3 linked regions of the Arabidopsis thaliana genome follow. The protein of the gene in region 1 purifies or fractionates together with the protein of each later gene. This does not show direct contact. Each region holds a gene or a part of one and is shown in the gene's direction. Other genes may lie near its edges.

Region 1 (5,369 bases):
ATCCTAACCGCTGGACGACAACGGATATGTTATTGGAACTGTTAAAGAACTAAATATGTATTAAACTTTAATATGAATGATAAAGATTTCCTTAAATAATCTGTTAATAAAAAAAAAGCAAAAAAAAAAAAAGAGAGCACAATTTGAAAGGAAAGCCCAATAATAGAGGCCCATGGTGAAAGTCTTAGGCCCCGGGTGGTAATCTAATCACGTTTGTAGTGATAATCTAATCACGTTTGTTTTTAATGATAATGCGTTGTCCCCATCCTTGTTCTTAATTCAATTGTCAATCACCTCCATTAATTTTGTGTTCACCTCGGTTAGAAAGCTTTGTTTTAATTTGTTAAGACGATGCTGATATATCCTGAATCATGATTAAATTAAAATCCTTAAGTTAAAGTCATTACAAAAACCACTTTTGAATATTGATCAGATATTGGTCCCATGCCCAAAACGATGGTGCAAAATGTCTAAAGAGTGATAAGCTAGCAATTACTAGATATATACTAAAAGAAATAGTTTCAGTTCCAAGCATGAGCACTAGTCATAGTTGAGGCTCACAAATTTCTTGCAAATCATCTTCGAGTTTTCCACGTCCAGAGATGGTCTCCTTCCTCCTGATACACACACAAACAACTAAGTATCTTCCATCGTCTAAAAATAAACAAAAGCATACGTAATTACCCATTTCCTCCACCTTCTTATTTATAATCAAGTTGAACAATTTTCAAATCATCCAAGACACAATCATTTATTAAATATTGATATATGCAATGACAAAATATCCAAAAGTATTGACTTCAATGACATTCAATTTTTGCTATTTTTTTATTTTTTTGTACGAATAGTCTTCAGATCTTTTTCAGTTGATGTCAATCCAAACTTTAATCATGAGTCTATCACAATATTGTTGAAGTACATAAAACAAGGAATTGATTTATTTATAATCGAGTTAGGAAAATTTTAAACTACAAACATAACATAGTTACACAGAATTGTATCAAAATATCATTATTGTTGTTATATGTATTCATTTAGTGAAAAAATATTAAAATCTTATAAATAATTAGCTTTATAGACAAAATATATAAATTGATATTTCAAATCACAAATGAATCTAACCATAAAAATTATCACTACATATTATGGATCTAATTTTATTAATAATACAAAAATAAACAAATAATAAATATAAATTAGCATAAAGAACAATCAATGTAATTTTTTTTTAACAATTTTTAAAACAAACCCACGCGTAGCGTGGGTAGTCATCTAATACAAATATAATTTTACCTGATTTCATAATCGCATATTGCTGACTTTGGACGTCTTCAGTGATCACTTTCATCCTCCTGCTTTTTCGCCTCAGATCTAGCCGAATGATACTGCACAATAAATGTGATCCCTATGGGAATCACTACTCTTGAAATTGCATACATCCCGCCAACTCCCGTGAACGTCATCGTTTTGCTATATGAAGATGGCTCCACTATCACAACCAATGCTGACTTAGCTACAAAAAAAGCTTGTTTAATGCTACTACTTTTCTGTTGTTGATTATTGTTTTTTTTAGATTCCGAGGCATTACTTGTCATTTATGATTGAGTTTTGAGCATATATATGTTTACTTAACGCTCGAATATATGACAAGAATTTGTAAAGGTTTATGATGTTTTAATGAATTTTGGTTTTCTTTTAAATTTCGGATGAGAGACATAAATAAAACAGCATTTCTAATAAAGTTTGTTTTTTTGGAAGAAATCTTTCTGTTGCAGTTCTTGTGATTAAGGTTCTTGCAATTTCAAGAGTAGATTTAGACATTCATAATTGGAATGTAAATCTGAAAGCTATAGTCAGGGGGGTTTAAATTGTCTTATATTGAGTTAGTTCGAGAGAATGTGGAAGACTCTAACTCGTTCAGAGGTTTTCCCCTATGCATTTCTTTGAAGACAAGTTTTCCTAAGAAAACTCTTTTTTATTTTTAATAGCTAATATAATTTACTTTTTTCTTTTTGGTTATTTATTTTCTCTCGTCTTCTCTCCTTATTGGTTTTTTTTCTCTCATAGTCGCTCTCCCTCTCCTCTCCCTTTGAGAAATCCCTAACTCTTTGCTCTTCTCTTCCCGGCGATCTATCTCTCCGATTTGGGTATTGAAATGGCAACTCCTATGGTTGAAGATACGTCAAGCTTCGAAGAGGATCAGCTTGCTTCCATGTCCACCGAAGATATCACTAGAGCTACTCGTCTTCTCGACAACGAGATTCGAATTCTCAAGGTTTGCCCTATATCTCTCTCGATCTCCTTTGCCTTTATATCGTTCTCCATGATTGTATCTTCTTAAATTGGTTTCATCAATCGCTTTAATTCCAGTAAGGTCAGGCTCGAATCTGGTTTCGATTTTTCGCGATTACGGGTTTAGGGTTTGAGTTTCGTGTAATCCGTGGAAGCAGGAGATGAACTAGACCTTTAATTTTATGACCCTTCTTGTGATTTCTTCGTGTGTTTTCAAAGTTTGGATTTTTCAACTCAACTGAGATTGATTGAATTGAAAAGCTACGTCTTTCTTGTTGCAAATTGGATATGTTGAAATTGCTCATCTTGTGTTTTTCTTTGATGGGGATTTAGGAAGACGCGCAAAGAACAAATCTAGAATGTGATTCTTACAAGGAGAAGATTAAGGAGAATCAGGAGAAGATTAAACTCAACAAGCAGCTGCCTTACTTGGTTGGCAACATTGTCGAGGTATTCAACTAGTTTTCTTATCTTATTTTTGGTATTTTCCTACAGAGTCTTACCTATTTGATTTGAATTCTAACTGTTGTGTTACCATATCATGCTATTAGATTTTGGAGATGAATCCAGAAGATGATGCTGAGGAAGATGGTGCAAATATTGATCTTGACTCGCAACGGAAAGGAAAATGTGTTGTGTTGAAAACGTCTACACGGCAGGTGAGACTTCCAAACCCATTCTTTAGATATGTTTTCTACATCTTCTCTTCCGTTTCCCGTTTCATGTCTGAGCAAATACTTTTGTTTTCGTTATGTGGACTGCAGACCATCTTTCTACCAGTTGTTGGACTCGTGGATCCTGATAGTTTGAAACCTGGTGACTTGGTTGGAGTTAACAAAGATAGCTACTTGATTTTGGATACCTTGCCATCCGAGTATGACTCTAGGGTTAAAGCCATGGAGGTCGATGAAAAACCAACTGAAGATTACAATGACATTGGAGGACTAGAGAAGCAGGTATGTTTATACCATTGTGTTAATCTGCTGTATTGACTTTGCTTCGTAGTGAAACTAATTGAGTTTATTTCTGGAACAGATCCAAGAGCTTGTAGAGGCAATTGTGCTTCCCATGACGCACAAGGAACGTTTTGAGAAGCTGGGTGTTCGTCCACCAAAGGGAGTGCTCTTGTATGGTCCCCCAGGGACTGGTAAAACTTTAATGGCTCGTGCCTGCGCAGCACAGACCAATGCCACCTTCCTTAAATTGGCAGGCCCTCAATTGGTCCAGGTATATATATATATATATATATATATATATATGAGTATCAGATTCAATTCTCATCTCTTAGAACTCTTTACCCTGTCTGGATATAAGATTTTAGTGTTCTGGCAACAATAATTACATGTGACGAGCTATAATGATACTTGATTGTAATGACATGATGACATATCCAATTTATATACAGATGTTCATTGGAGACGGAGCAAAGCTTGTCCGTGATGCCTTTCAACTTGCCAAAGAGAAAGCTCCGTGCATTATCTTCATAGATGAAATCGATGCCATTGGTACAAAGCGTTTCGACAGGTACAAATCTTTTTCTGATTCCAATTCATGTATTTCTGCACTTTCTCAGCTATTTGCTCAAATCACATTCTTTGGTTGAGAGTACAGTGAAGTCAGCGGAGACAGGGAAGTGCAGAGGACTATGTTGGAGTTGCTCAATCAACTTGACGGATTCAGTAGCGATGAACGTATTAAGGTGAGTGTCTTTATCCATTCTAAGGACTAATCATACTGGTCTTAAAAATCGTTCTCAAAGAAACAGTAACAACCATACCTTTCTATTTTTTCAGGTGATTGCAGCTACTAACCGTGCAGATATTCTGGACCCAGCACTCATGCGTTCTGGTCGATTAGACAGAAAGATTGAGTTCCCACACCCAACCGAAGAAGCGAGAGCAAGAATCTTGCAGGTTTGTCTCTCCCATTTTTCAAACATGACCCTTGGTGATAAGTAAAAGGCTCTCATAACACAACTAACCCAACTGAATGAATCCAGATTCACTCAAGGAAGATGAATGTCCACCCAGACGTCAACTTTGAGGAGCTTGCACGATCAACAGATGATTTCAATGGAGCTCAGCTGAAAGCAGTGTGTGTAGAGGCAGGCATGTTAGCTCTTCGCCGTGATGCCACAGAGGTAAAAAAGACAGAACTCTTAATGATTTGAGCTTTATGATTGTGTAGTTTGGTCTGTTTTTTAAGGTGGGGTTCTCTGTTGTTGTGTTTGTGTGTTCAGGTGAACCATGAAGACTTCAATGAAGGTATCATCCAAGTCCAGGCCAAGAAGAAAGCAAGCTTGAACTACTACGCCTGATCTCTCTCTCTCATCATTTATTTTTATCAATGCCGTTTATCTTTCAACTAGTTTTACTTGTACCCTCATTCCGATTTGGATCTTTTTAAGTTTTCGAATCAGGATCATCTATTATATCAAAATACATTTAATTGTGTTCATCTTCTTCTGAAAACAAGTTTGGAAATTTAGAAATCTTAGTATCTCTATAGTATTGGTTCATGGTATATAGACCTATTCTAAAATTATGTTTTCTTTCAGAAATTTTTAAGAGAATTCACTTATCAATCTCTAATATTTTGTATATATCATAGTATTTTGAACGTATATCAAGTGAATTTTTAAAACTAATCAGGCCTTTTTCGTTGCACTAATCCTTTCAAGCTCTCAATTTAAGGAAATTGCATAAAAGTTAACTTCACTTGAAATAGAAAAATCTCTCAAGATTAACCAAAAGTACTAACAAAAAGTAAAACTCCAAAATAAAAAAATAAAATCTGTAGCTTTGAAGTATTCAGCACTTGATCTCTTTCAAGCCGTAGGCCAAGTAGAGAAAAGTAGGATCAGTGGCTCCTTCTCTGTAGTAAGCAAACACTAAGCTCCCTTCTTCTCCTTCCATGCTCTCTCCCACGAAGCTGTCACATTCGTTGAAAATAATTCACCAATTAGACAAAATTAACTTCAAAAAAAAAATAGAAGAAAGAAGATAAAAGAGAAGAGCTTACAATTGGAAGTCTTTGAGCTTTGACATCAAGAATTTGGTGGCACTCTCAATGTGTTT
Region 2 (4,841 bases), on another chromosome or scaffold:
TGATGGCTCTAGCGACAATACAAAGTTTGAAGATGAATGTCGAGCTATTATCGGAGCACAATCATATGTTCTCTTCACATTGGACAAGCTAGTTCAAAAGTTTGTTAAGCATGTAAGCTTCCATTTTACCTTGTTATCGTCTTGACTCTGCTTCTGTTCTCTCTCCTTTATTTTTGTTTGCTCCGCACTAATCATTTAAGTGGCTTGGACATGCTTCAGCTTCACGCAGTCGCAGCTGATGAGACAGACACCAAGCTTCTGCAGCTATATGCATACGAGAACTACAGAAAACCAGGAAGATTCTTTGATATAGTGTACCATGAGAATGCTCGAGCCCTTCTCCATGATCAGAACATATACAGGATTGAATATGTATGCTTCTCTTGATATGTGTGGATACCTGTTTATATGTTCCCATATACTAATCTGTATTTGCAAATTTCTGTGCAGTCATCTGCCCAAACCCGTCTCGGAATTCAACTTATGAACAGCTGGAATGATCAGCCTGAAGTTACAGCTGTAACAGTGGAACCAGGTTTTGCTAATTATCTGCAGAATGACTTTCTTTCGTTTGTCAGTGATGAAGAGAAACCCGGACTATTTCTGAAAAGGTGAATGAAGCAATGATTAGAGCATAACCTTTTTTCGTCTTCAGTTGTGGTAGTACAGTTAGTAATCACCTTAGCATACTCTTTTCAGGAACAAGGCAAAATTAAGTGGTCCGGGTGAAGAATCTCTAGGGATGTCACGTGCCTTGGAAGGATTGAACATTATCAATGAGGTTGAATGTAAGATAGCTTGCAGTTCTTTCAAGGTAAAATACTTTCTTGTGAATCTCTTGCACTGATAATCTTTTCTCTTTTCACATGTATATATGATTGATGAGAGTTTACAATCTTCATTAGGTCAAGTATGAACCACACACAGCAGATCTTTTATATAGAAGAAAGCAGAAGAAAGCAACACTGAATCCAACTGGACCTGAAAATGTTAAAACCTCTGATAGTAGTGAACTCTCGAGAAAGAAACGAATATCGCGCTTTCACATGAGTCTTAACCGCAGACTTGTCGCCTTGCCTTAACTCAAGAACGCCGTAAGTAACCCTCTTGTCTTTTATTTGCCTGTGGTGATCAATACTGCAAATCATCAATAATCTCTAACTCACGATAAATTGTGCAGGTGTGAAGTTCTTTGCTGAGAATGAGATATGCAAGAATGAGTAGTAGTAGAGAGAGACTAGAGAATAACTGTCTTTGACAAAGATTCTTGCATCATTTTAGGCTCAAAGAGATTCACATGGCAACAACCATAGTTTTTATCTTCTACAGTCTACACTGCAGCTGGAGCCGCCAGTTTTGCTGTATAGTGTTAGAATATCTTTTTTTTTTTTAAGGATGATGCTAAAATTGGATATTTTTAATTCATTCATTGAACAATTATTGAATTTTCCTTCTAATGTTAAATTCTCTTTCAAATTAATAATCTCTTTAATCACATGTTTTATTTATTTATTTTGGTTTATCCATTTGGTTATTTATCTTTAATCACATTTGAGTTTGATTATATAATATGATTTTAAGAGAATATGAATATATATTGACTCTTTTATCACAGGTGTCACGTGACTCACGTGAGGCTGTGTACGGAAAACCTTCTTATCCTCTCAGAGTCTCTTATATTAGGATCGCTATCTACTGCTTCACTGAAATTGTCCTCTCAGTTCCTACGCGAAGTTTTCAACAGATTCGCCGGAGAATCTTCGAATCAACGGCGGAGAAATGGCTCTATCACGCCTCTCATCACGATCCAACATCATCACTCGTCCCTTCTCCGCCGCCTTCAGCCGATTAATCTCAACGGACACAACTCCGATCACAATCGAGACTTCGCTTCCTTTCACAGCTCACTTATGTGATCCACCGTCACGCTCCGTCGAATCATCGAGTCAAGAGCTTCTCGATTTCTTCAGAACCATGGCGTTGATGCGACGTATGGAAATCGCAGCCGATTCGCTTTACAAAGCGAAGCTAATCCGAGGGTTTTGTCATCTCTACGACGGCCAAGAAGCTGTAGCTATAGGCATGGAAGCTGCGATTACAAAGAAAGACGCGATTATTACTGCTTATCGTGATCACTGTATTTTCTTAGGTCGTGGTGGTTCGCTTCATGAGGTTTTCTCAGAGCTTATGGGAAGACAAGCTGGTTGTTCTAAAGGGAAAGGTGGATCTATGCACTTCTATAAGAAGGAATCGTCGTTTTACGGTGGTCATGGGATTGTTGGTGCTCAGGTTCCATTAGGTTGTGGTATTGCTTTTGCTCAGAAGTATAACAAGGAAGAGGCTGTCACATTTGCTTTGTATGGTGATGGTGCTGCGAATCAGGGACAGTTGTTTGAAGCTTTGAATATTTCTGCTCTTTGGGATTTGCCTGCAATTTTGGTCTGCGAGAACAATCACTGTAAGCATTTTTGCTTCTTTCTTTCTTTCTTTCTTTCTTTGTAGGTTTGTTTTGTCGTAGTATCTGATTGAATTTGATCTGTGCAGATGGAATGGGAACTGCTGAATGGAGAGCCGCTAAGAGTCCATCTTACTACAAGCGTGGTGATTATGTTCCTGGACTCAAGGTCAGCTTTTGAATCTTATTTGTAACAAGGATTGATGTGTGAGGCTTGTTAAGATGAGAAAGGGAAGTTTTGATTGGGTAGATGGATTAGTGTCATTTCCTGAATGATATAAGTTTCTTAGTTTCCATATAGAAACAGGTAGAATGCAAGTCTTAAGTAACTTACTACTACTCAGCTTTCATTTATAACCTCTCAGTTTAGAGATGAATGTGACTGTCTTATGGATAATGATTGTCATGAATCTTCTATTGTTAACAGAGATATGGTGTGCATCATTACCTTGTTCTTATTAGGTTTCTTGTAACCTGCATCAAGTTAGCAACTTTCTTTTGAGTTTGACCGGTTGCTGGTTTGTATGGATAAACAGGTAGATGGTATGGATGCATTTGCTGTCAAACAAGCTTGCAAATTTGCTAAGCAGCATGCGTTGGAGAAGGGGCCAATAGTAAGTTTGTATTTTAGTATTATCAGACGTTTTGTTTTTTTCCCCTTTGGTCCTTACTCATCTGGCGCATTTTGTAAATTTGCTATGAGCAATATCTAGCTGTCCTGTAGGACGTGAAGTATTAATCTTTCCTTTTGCATTTTTTAGTTGATATTTACTTCCCTTCAGTTCCTCTTTTTGGACACTGCATTCCAGTAGCTGAATATTGATGGGGTGGCTGGTTCTTTCTGTGCAGTTGCAATAGAAATTACGCTGTATCAGTGTATATCAAAGAAGTGTGTTTTTGATATCGCTGTTGTTCATATAAGTAGTAGCTTTGGTTTCCAATTTATTTTCCTGTGTTTATTCTTTCCTATCATATGGATTACAGAAGCATTAATACATCGTTTCTTCTATACAGATTCTTGAGATGGACACATACAGGTACCACGGTCACTCCATGTCTGATCCTGGGAGCACATACCGTACCCGAGATGAGATATCTGGTGTGAGGCAGGTTCGTTAGTCTCTTTACCTGAAAAATCATTTCTTGGTCGAGGACTCAGCTATTGATGAAATCTCAAAAGTCAAAACATTTATGTGCTACTCTATATGACTCAGGAACGGGATCCAATTGAGAGAATAAAGAAGCTGGTACTATCTCATGACCTAGCAACCGAGAAAGAGCTTAAGGATATGGAGAAGGAAATTAGAAAAGAAGTAGATGACGCCATTGCCAAAGCTAAGGTAAAACAACAGTTACATTACTACTTTCAAAGCGTAAACTCGAGACCCTTATGCGAAAATCTCTGTACCGTTTCAGGATTGCCCAATGCCAGAGCCTTCTGAGCTCTTTACCAATGTGTATGTGAAGGGATTTGGCACCGAGGTACTTCACTAATTAGATATTCATATTGCACCACGCCCCTTGAAACTATAGTTAATCTTTCTTATTGACCCATTTGTTTTCTGTTGGCAGTCATTTGGACCTGACAGAAAAGAAGTCAAAGCTTCCCTTCCATGATCATGGAGCTCTTGTTCGTTAAACTGCCACGTGTCATGAGAAAGTTGGCTGATAGAGAAATCTATGAATATGAATAAAGATCTGATTGTATACTCTCTCTCTCCCCCCCCTTCTGAACTTTAATCTCTCTGTATCTTTGTTTACAAACATAAGGAGAAACAATGTTATTCTTGTGAAGCTTTAGTAGTCTCGTGTTTAATATTCAAGCAATCGAGTTGAGATCTCATTTTGTGCTGCACTCCAAATAATATAACAAATTGAATTACAAACAAAGGCCAGTGGAATGGTTTCTTCTGTTTGTATTCTTCGTCTTTCCCAAAAAAAAAAAAGAATTCAACTTTGGCGTAACCAATCCATGAACCCGAAAAAAAAAAATCAACAAAACAGGTAAAATTGAAAGAACCATCTTCAAAGAACCTAATGAATATTTTTACCAACAAGCTCCCCTATCATTCTGTATATACATAATAACAAATGTAAATGATATTTTTTTGCTTTTCTGGTTATCAAGATTCTGAGTCTGAGTCACTTGAACTGCTGTACCTTGAACTCTCTGACATGAAATTTGGAGGCAGAATTGGAAATCTAACTGCGTTCCTTTGCGGTGCAGCAGCAACGCTCGGAGTTTCTGCTGGTGAACTTGATGCTCCTGCTACTGTTGTTGCAGGTCGTTGTTGCTGTTGTTTCCGTTGATTCCTTGCGATCTCACTACATGCATTATCAACCATCCCTAAGAAATCACGGATTATAACAAACAGTTGAAACAGGT
Region 3 (3,865 bases), on another chromosome or scaffold:
TTATTTTTAAAAATGTGGAAAGAGCCAAAAACTTTAAAAAGAAATATAGGGGTTTGCATGCATATGGCCGCGCGTGTGTATCGCGTCATCCTACGTTTTTAGTCGTCGAGTTTAAATTGTTTGGACAAAACCTCTTGTATCTTCCAATCACTTCCATAATTTTAGGAGAAAAGAAAAACAAATATAGAAAATATAATGCAAACCCAGGGACTCGCGTTTTCCATGGTTTTCGGAATTTTGTGGGCTCTTTACCTTACGAGGAGCTTGAGCTTCAATGTTTTGATTAAAATAATAGAAGGCTTCTTGTAATATAGGATTATTGGTCAACAAATTCTTATTGTCCAAGATATTAACTGTTTGACTGAGTCTCAAAGTGGAATTAGAAACATCTTATTATGATATGTGGGTACTTTCTAGTTTCGACAAACATGTTTATGGCTTTCATCTATCAAGATTCTTCACTCTATAATTAGAATTCAAAAGTAGAGTTCACTGTCAGAATTCAAATTTATTATGTGTTTTTTTTCCGTGGTCGAGATTGTGTATTATTCTTTAGTTATTACAAGACTTTTAGCTAAAATTTGAAAGAATTTACTTTAAGAAAATCTTAACATCTGAGATAATTTCAGCAATAGATTATATTTTTCATTACTCTAGCAGTATTTTTGCAGATCAATCGCAACATATATGGTTGTTAGAAAAAATGCACTATATATATATATATTATTTTTTCAATTAAAAGTGCATGATATATAATATATATATATATATATATATGTGTGTGTGTATATGGTCAAAGAAATTCTTATACAAATATACACGAACACATATATTTGACAAAATCAAAGTATTACACTAAACAATGAGTTGGTGCATGGCCAAAACAAATATGTAGATTAAAAATTCCAGCCTCCAAAAAAAAATCCAAGTGTTGTAAAGCATTATATATATATAGTAGATCCCAAATTTTTGTACAATTCCACACTGATCGAATTTTTAAAGTTGAATATCTGACGTAGGATTTTTTTAATGTCTTACCTGACCATTTACTAATAACATTCATACGTTTTCATTTGAAATATCCTCTATAATTATATTGAATTTGGCACATAATAAGAAACCTAATTGGTGATTTATTTTACTAGTAAATTTCTGGTGATGGGCTTTCTACTAGAAAGCTCTCGGAAAATCTTGGACCAAATCCATATTCCATGACTTCGATTGTTAACCCTATTAGTTTTCACAAACATACTATCAATATCATTGCAACGGAAAAGGTACAAGTAAAACATTCAATCCGATAGGGAAGTGATGTAGGAGGTTGGGAAGACAGGCCCAGAAAGAGATTTATCTGACTTGTTTTGTGTATAGTTTTCAATGTTCATAAAGGAAGATGGAGACTTGAGAAGTTTTTTTTGGACTTTGTTTAGCTTTGTTGGGCGTTTTTTTTTTTTGATCAATAACTTTGTTGGGCTTATGATTTGTAATATTTTCGTGGACTCTTTAGTTTATTTAGACGTGCTAACTTTGTTGGGCTTATGACTTGTTGTAACATATTGTAACAGATGACTTGATGTGCGACTAATCTTTACACATTAAACATAGTTCTGTTTTTTGAAAGTTCTTATTTTCATTTTTATTTGAATGTTATATATTTTTCTATATTTATAATTCTAGTAAAAGGCAAATTTTGCTTTTAAATGAAAAAAATATATATTCCACAGTTTCACCTAATCTTATGCATTTAGCAGTACAAATTCAAAAATTTCCCATTTTTATTCATGAATCATACCATTATATATTAACTAAATCCAAGGTAAAAAAAAGGTATGAAAGCTCTATAGTAAGTAAAATATAAATTCCCCATAAGGAAAGGGCCAAGTCCACCAGGCAAGTAAAATGAGCAAGCACCACTCCACCATCACACAATTTCACTCATAGATAACGATAAGATTCATGGAATTATCTTCCACGTGGCATTATTCCAGCGGTTCAAGCCGATAAGGGTCTCAACACCTCTCCTTAGGCCTTTGTGGCCGTTACCAAGTAAAATTAACCTCACACATATCCACACTCAAAATCCAACGGTGTAGATCCTAGTCCACTTGAATCTCATGTATCCTAGACCCTCCGATCACTCCAAAGCTTGTTCTCATTGTTGTTATCATTATATATAGATGACCAAAGCACTAGACCAAACCTCAGTCACACAAAGAGTAAAGAAGAACAATGGCTTCCTCTATGCTCTCTTCCGCTACTATGGTTGCCTCTCCGGCTCAGGCCACTATGGTCGCTCCTTTCAACGGACTTAAGTCCTCCGCTGCCTTCCCAGCCACCCGCAAGGCTAACAACGACATTACTTCCATCACAAGCAACGGCGGAAGAGTTAACTGCATGCAGGTCATTTATATTTCTTCTTTCACTTTTTTATTATTCCATATGATTTTTTTCGGTTCTTTCTTCGAATCTACATAAACTAATATCATTGGAAAAATCGAAAAAATAGGTGTGGCCTCCGATTGGAAAGAAGAAGTTTGAGACTCTCTCTTACCTTCCTGACCTTACCGATTCCGAATTGGCTAAGGAAGTTGACTACCTTATCCGCAACAAGTGGATTCCTTGTGTTGAATTCGAGTTGGAGGTAATTAAACAAAATTTAAACATCTATATAAACTAGCTAGATCTTAGGAAAATTTGGTTTAATATATTAGGATCTTGATTTATATAAACATGTTCAAAATGTTATCTGAGTGGTTTGTAACATGTGGTTTGTATAGCACGGATTTGTGTACCGTGAGCACGGTAACTCACCCGGATACTATGATGGACGGTACTGGACAATGTGGAAGCTTCCCTTGTTCGGTTGCACCGACTCCGCTCAAGTGTTGAAGGAAGTGGAAGAGTGCAAGAAGGAGTACCCCAATGCCTTCATTAGGATCATCGGATTCGACAACACCCGTCAAGTCCAGTGCATCAGTTTCATTGCCTACAAGCCACCAAGCTTCACCGGTTAATTTCCCTTTGCTTTTGTGTAAACCTCAAAACTTTATCCCCCATCTTTGATTTTATCCCTTGTTTTTCTGCTTTTTTCTTCTTTCTTGGGTTTTAATTTCCGGACTTAACGTTTGTTTTCCGGTTTGCGAGACATATTCTATCGGATTCTCAACTGTCTGATGAAATAAATATGTAATGTTCTATAAGTCTTTCAATTTGATATGCATATCAACAAAAAGAAAATAGGACAATGCGGCTACAAATATGAAATTTACAAGTTTAAGAACCATGAGTCGCTAAAGAAATCATTAAGAAAATTAGTTTCACATTCAATTCTTGTCACATGATTAACGAGCTTGAGAGGTTTAGAGTAACAATATCTTGAAGCAAAAGATGACCCACTTGAAATCTAGTGATGGATACATAAGTGGACGTGCCTTGTTTAGGATAGGATTCTGGATAAGAGTCTCGAATATTCATTTTTACCAAGTATATTCAAGGATCTTGTGGATCATATATTTCCTCAATCAAAGGGACTTGACCCAAATTCACATAAAGATATTTTGGAGTCGTTTGTTTAGGTACTTTCGAAATAGGATAAGCTATGTGTGGGTCGTAAAAACTCAAAATTTTCTTTCATTTTTTTTTTTAATTTTTTCCTAATTAGTTACTGATATAGTGTAAAGTTTTGAAATATTTTAAACGATTTTTACCCCTTTTTAATAATTTTTGTACCATTTAATCTCAAGAATTATACATATTGTTTACCAAAAGGTTTTGGTCACCATCGAAAACATCGAAATGCTCAAATACCACAGAAAGATTGAAAGATAGGAGATACCAAAGATTTGTCTTTTTTTTCTTTTTTTCA

The links. The genes of interacting proteins can lie anywhere in the genome.
Region 2: the proteins of RPT5A (region 1) and E1 ALPHA purify together in Arabidopsis thaliana (affinity purification with western blotting, with the first as the bait; one study listed by BioGRID). This does not show direct contact.
Region 3: the proteins of RPT5A (region 1) and RBCS1A purify together in Arabidopsis thaliana (affinity purification with western blotting, with the first as the bait; one study listed by BioGRID). This does not show direct contact.

What each region holds. Positions count from the first base shown.
Region 1 is NC_003074.8:1,601,385-1,606,753, forward strand, and holds RPT5A (regulatory particle triple-A ATPase 5A), read left to right. Parts: upstream 1-1,974; 5' UTR 1,975-2,155; coding exon 2,156-2,275; intron 2,276-2,625; coding exon 2,626-2,742; intron 2,743-2,843; coding exon 2,844-2,951; intron 2,952-3,056; coding exon 3,057-3,248; intron 3,249-3,327; coding exon 3,328-3,519; intron 3,520-3,697; coding exon 3,698-3,816; intron 3,817-3,903; coding exon 3,904-3,991; intron 3,992-4,085; coding exon 4,086-4,205; intron 4,206-4,291; coding exon 4,292-4,432; intron 4,433-4,531; coding exon 4,532-4,609; 3' UTR 4,610-4,859; downstream 4,860-5,369. Other genes in the region: CPA (Subunits of heterodimeric actin filament capping protein Capz superfamily), read left to right, coding at 1-53; AT3G05540 (Methionine sulfoxide reductase (MSS4-like) family protein), read right to left, coding at 5,103-5,223, 5,314-5,369. UniProt on the Arabidopsis thaliana protein: The 26S proteasome is involved in the ATP-dependent degradation of ubiquitinated proteins. The regulatory (or ATPase) complex confers ATP dependency and substrate specificity to the 26S complex.
Region 2 is NC_003070.9:22,049,589-22,054,429, forward strand, and holds E1 ALPHA (pyruvate dehydrogenase complex E1 alpha subunit), read left to right. Parts: upstream 1-1,544; 5' UTR 1,545-1,779; coding exon 1,780-2,458; intron 2,459-2,544; coding exon 2,545-2,624; intron 2,625-2,991; coding exon 2,992-3,069; intron 3,070-3,469; coding exon 3,470-3,565; intron 3,566-3,669; coding exon 3,670-3,795; intron 3,796-3,871; coding exon 3,872-3,937; coding exon of another isoform or gene 3,938-3,949; exon of another isoform or gene 3,950-3,971; intron 3,972-4,027; coding exon 4,028-4,072; 3' UTR 4,073-4,297; downstream 4,298-4,841. Other genes in the region: SNL5 (SIN3-like 5), read left to right, coding at 1-112, 220-372, 451-611, 700-814, 906-1,082; AT1G59910 (Actin-binding FH2 (formin homology 2) family protein), read right to left, coding at 4,579-4,841. UniProt on the Arabidopsis thaliana protein: The pyruvate dehydrogenase complex catalyzes the overall conversion of pyruvate to acetyl-CoA and CO(2).
Region 3 is NC_003070.9:25,047,614-25,051,478, reverse strand, and holds RBCS1A (ribulose bisphosphate carboxylase small chain 1A), read left to right. Parts: upstream 1-1,811; 5' UTR 1,812-2,229; coding exon 2,230-2,400; intron 2,401-2,506; coding exon 2,507-2,641; intron 2,642-2,777; coding exon 2,778-3,014; 3' UTR 3,015-3,321; downstream 3,322-3,865. UniProt on the Arabidopsis thaliana protein: RuBisCO catalyzes two reactions: the carboxylation of D-ribulose 1,5-bisphosphate, the primary event in carbon dioxide fixation, as well as the oxidative fragmentation of the pentose substrate.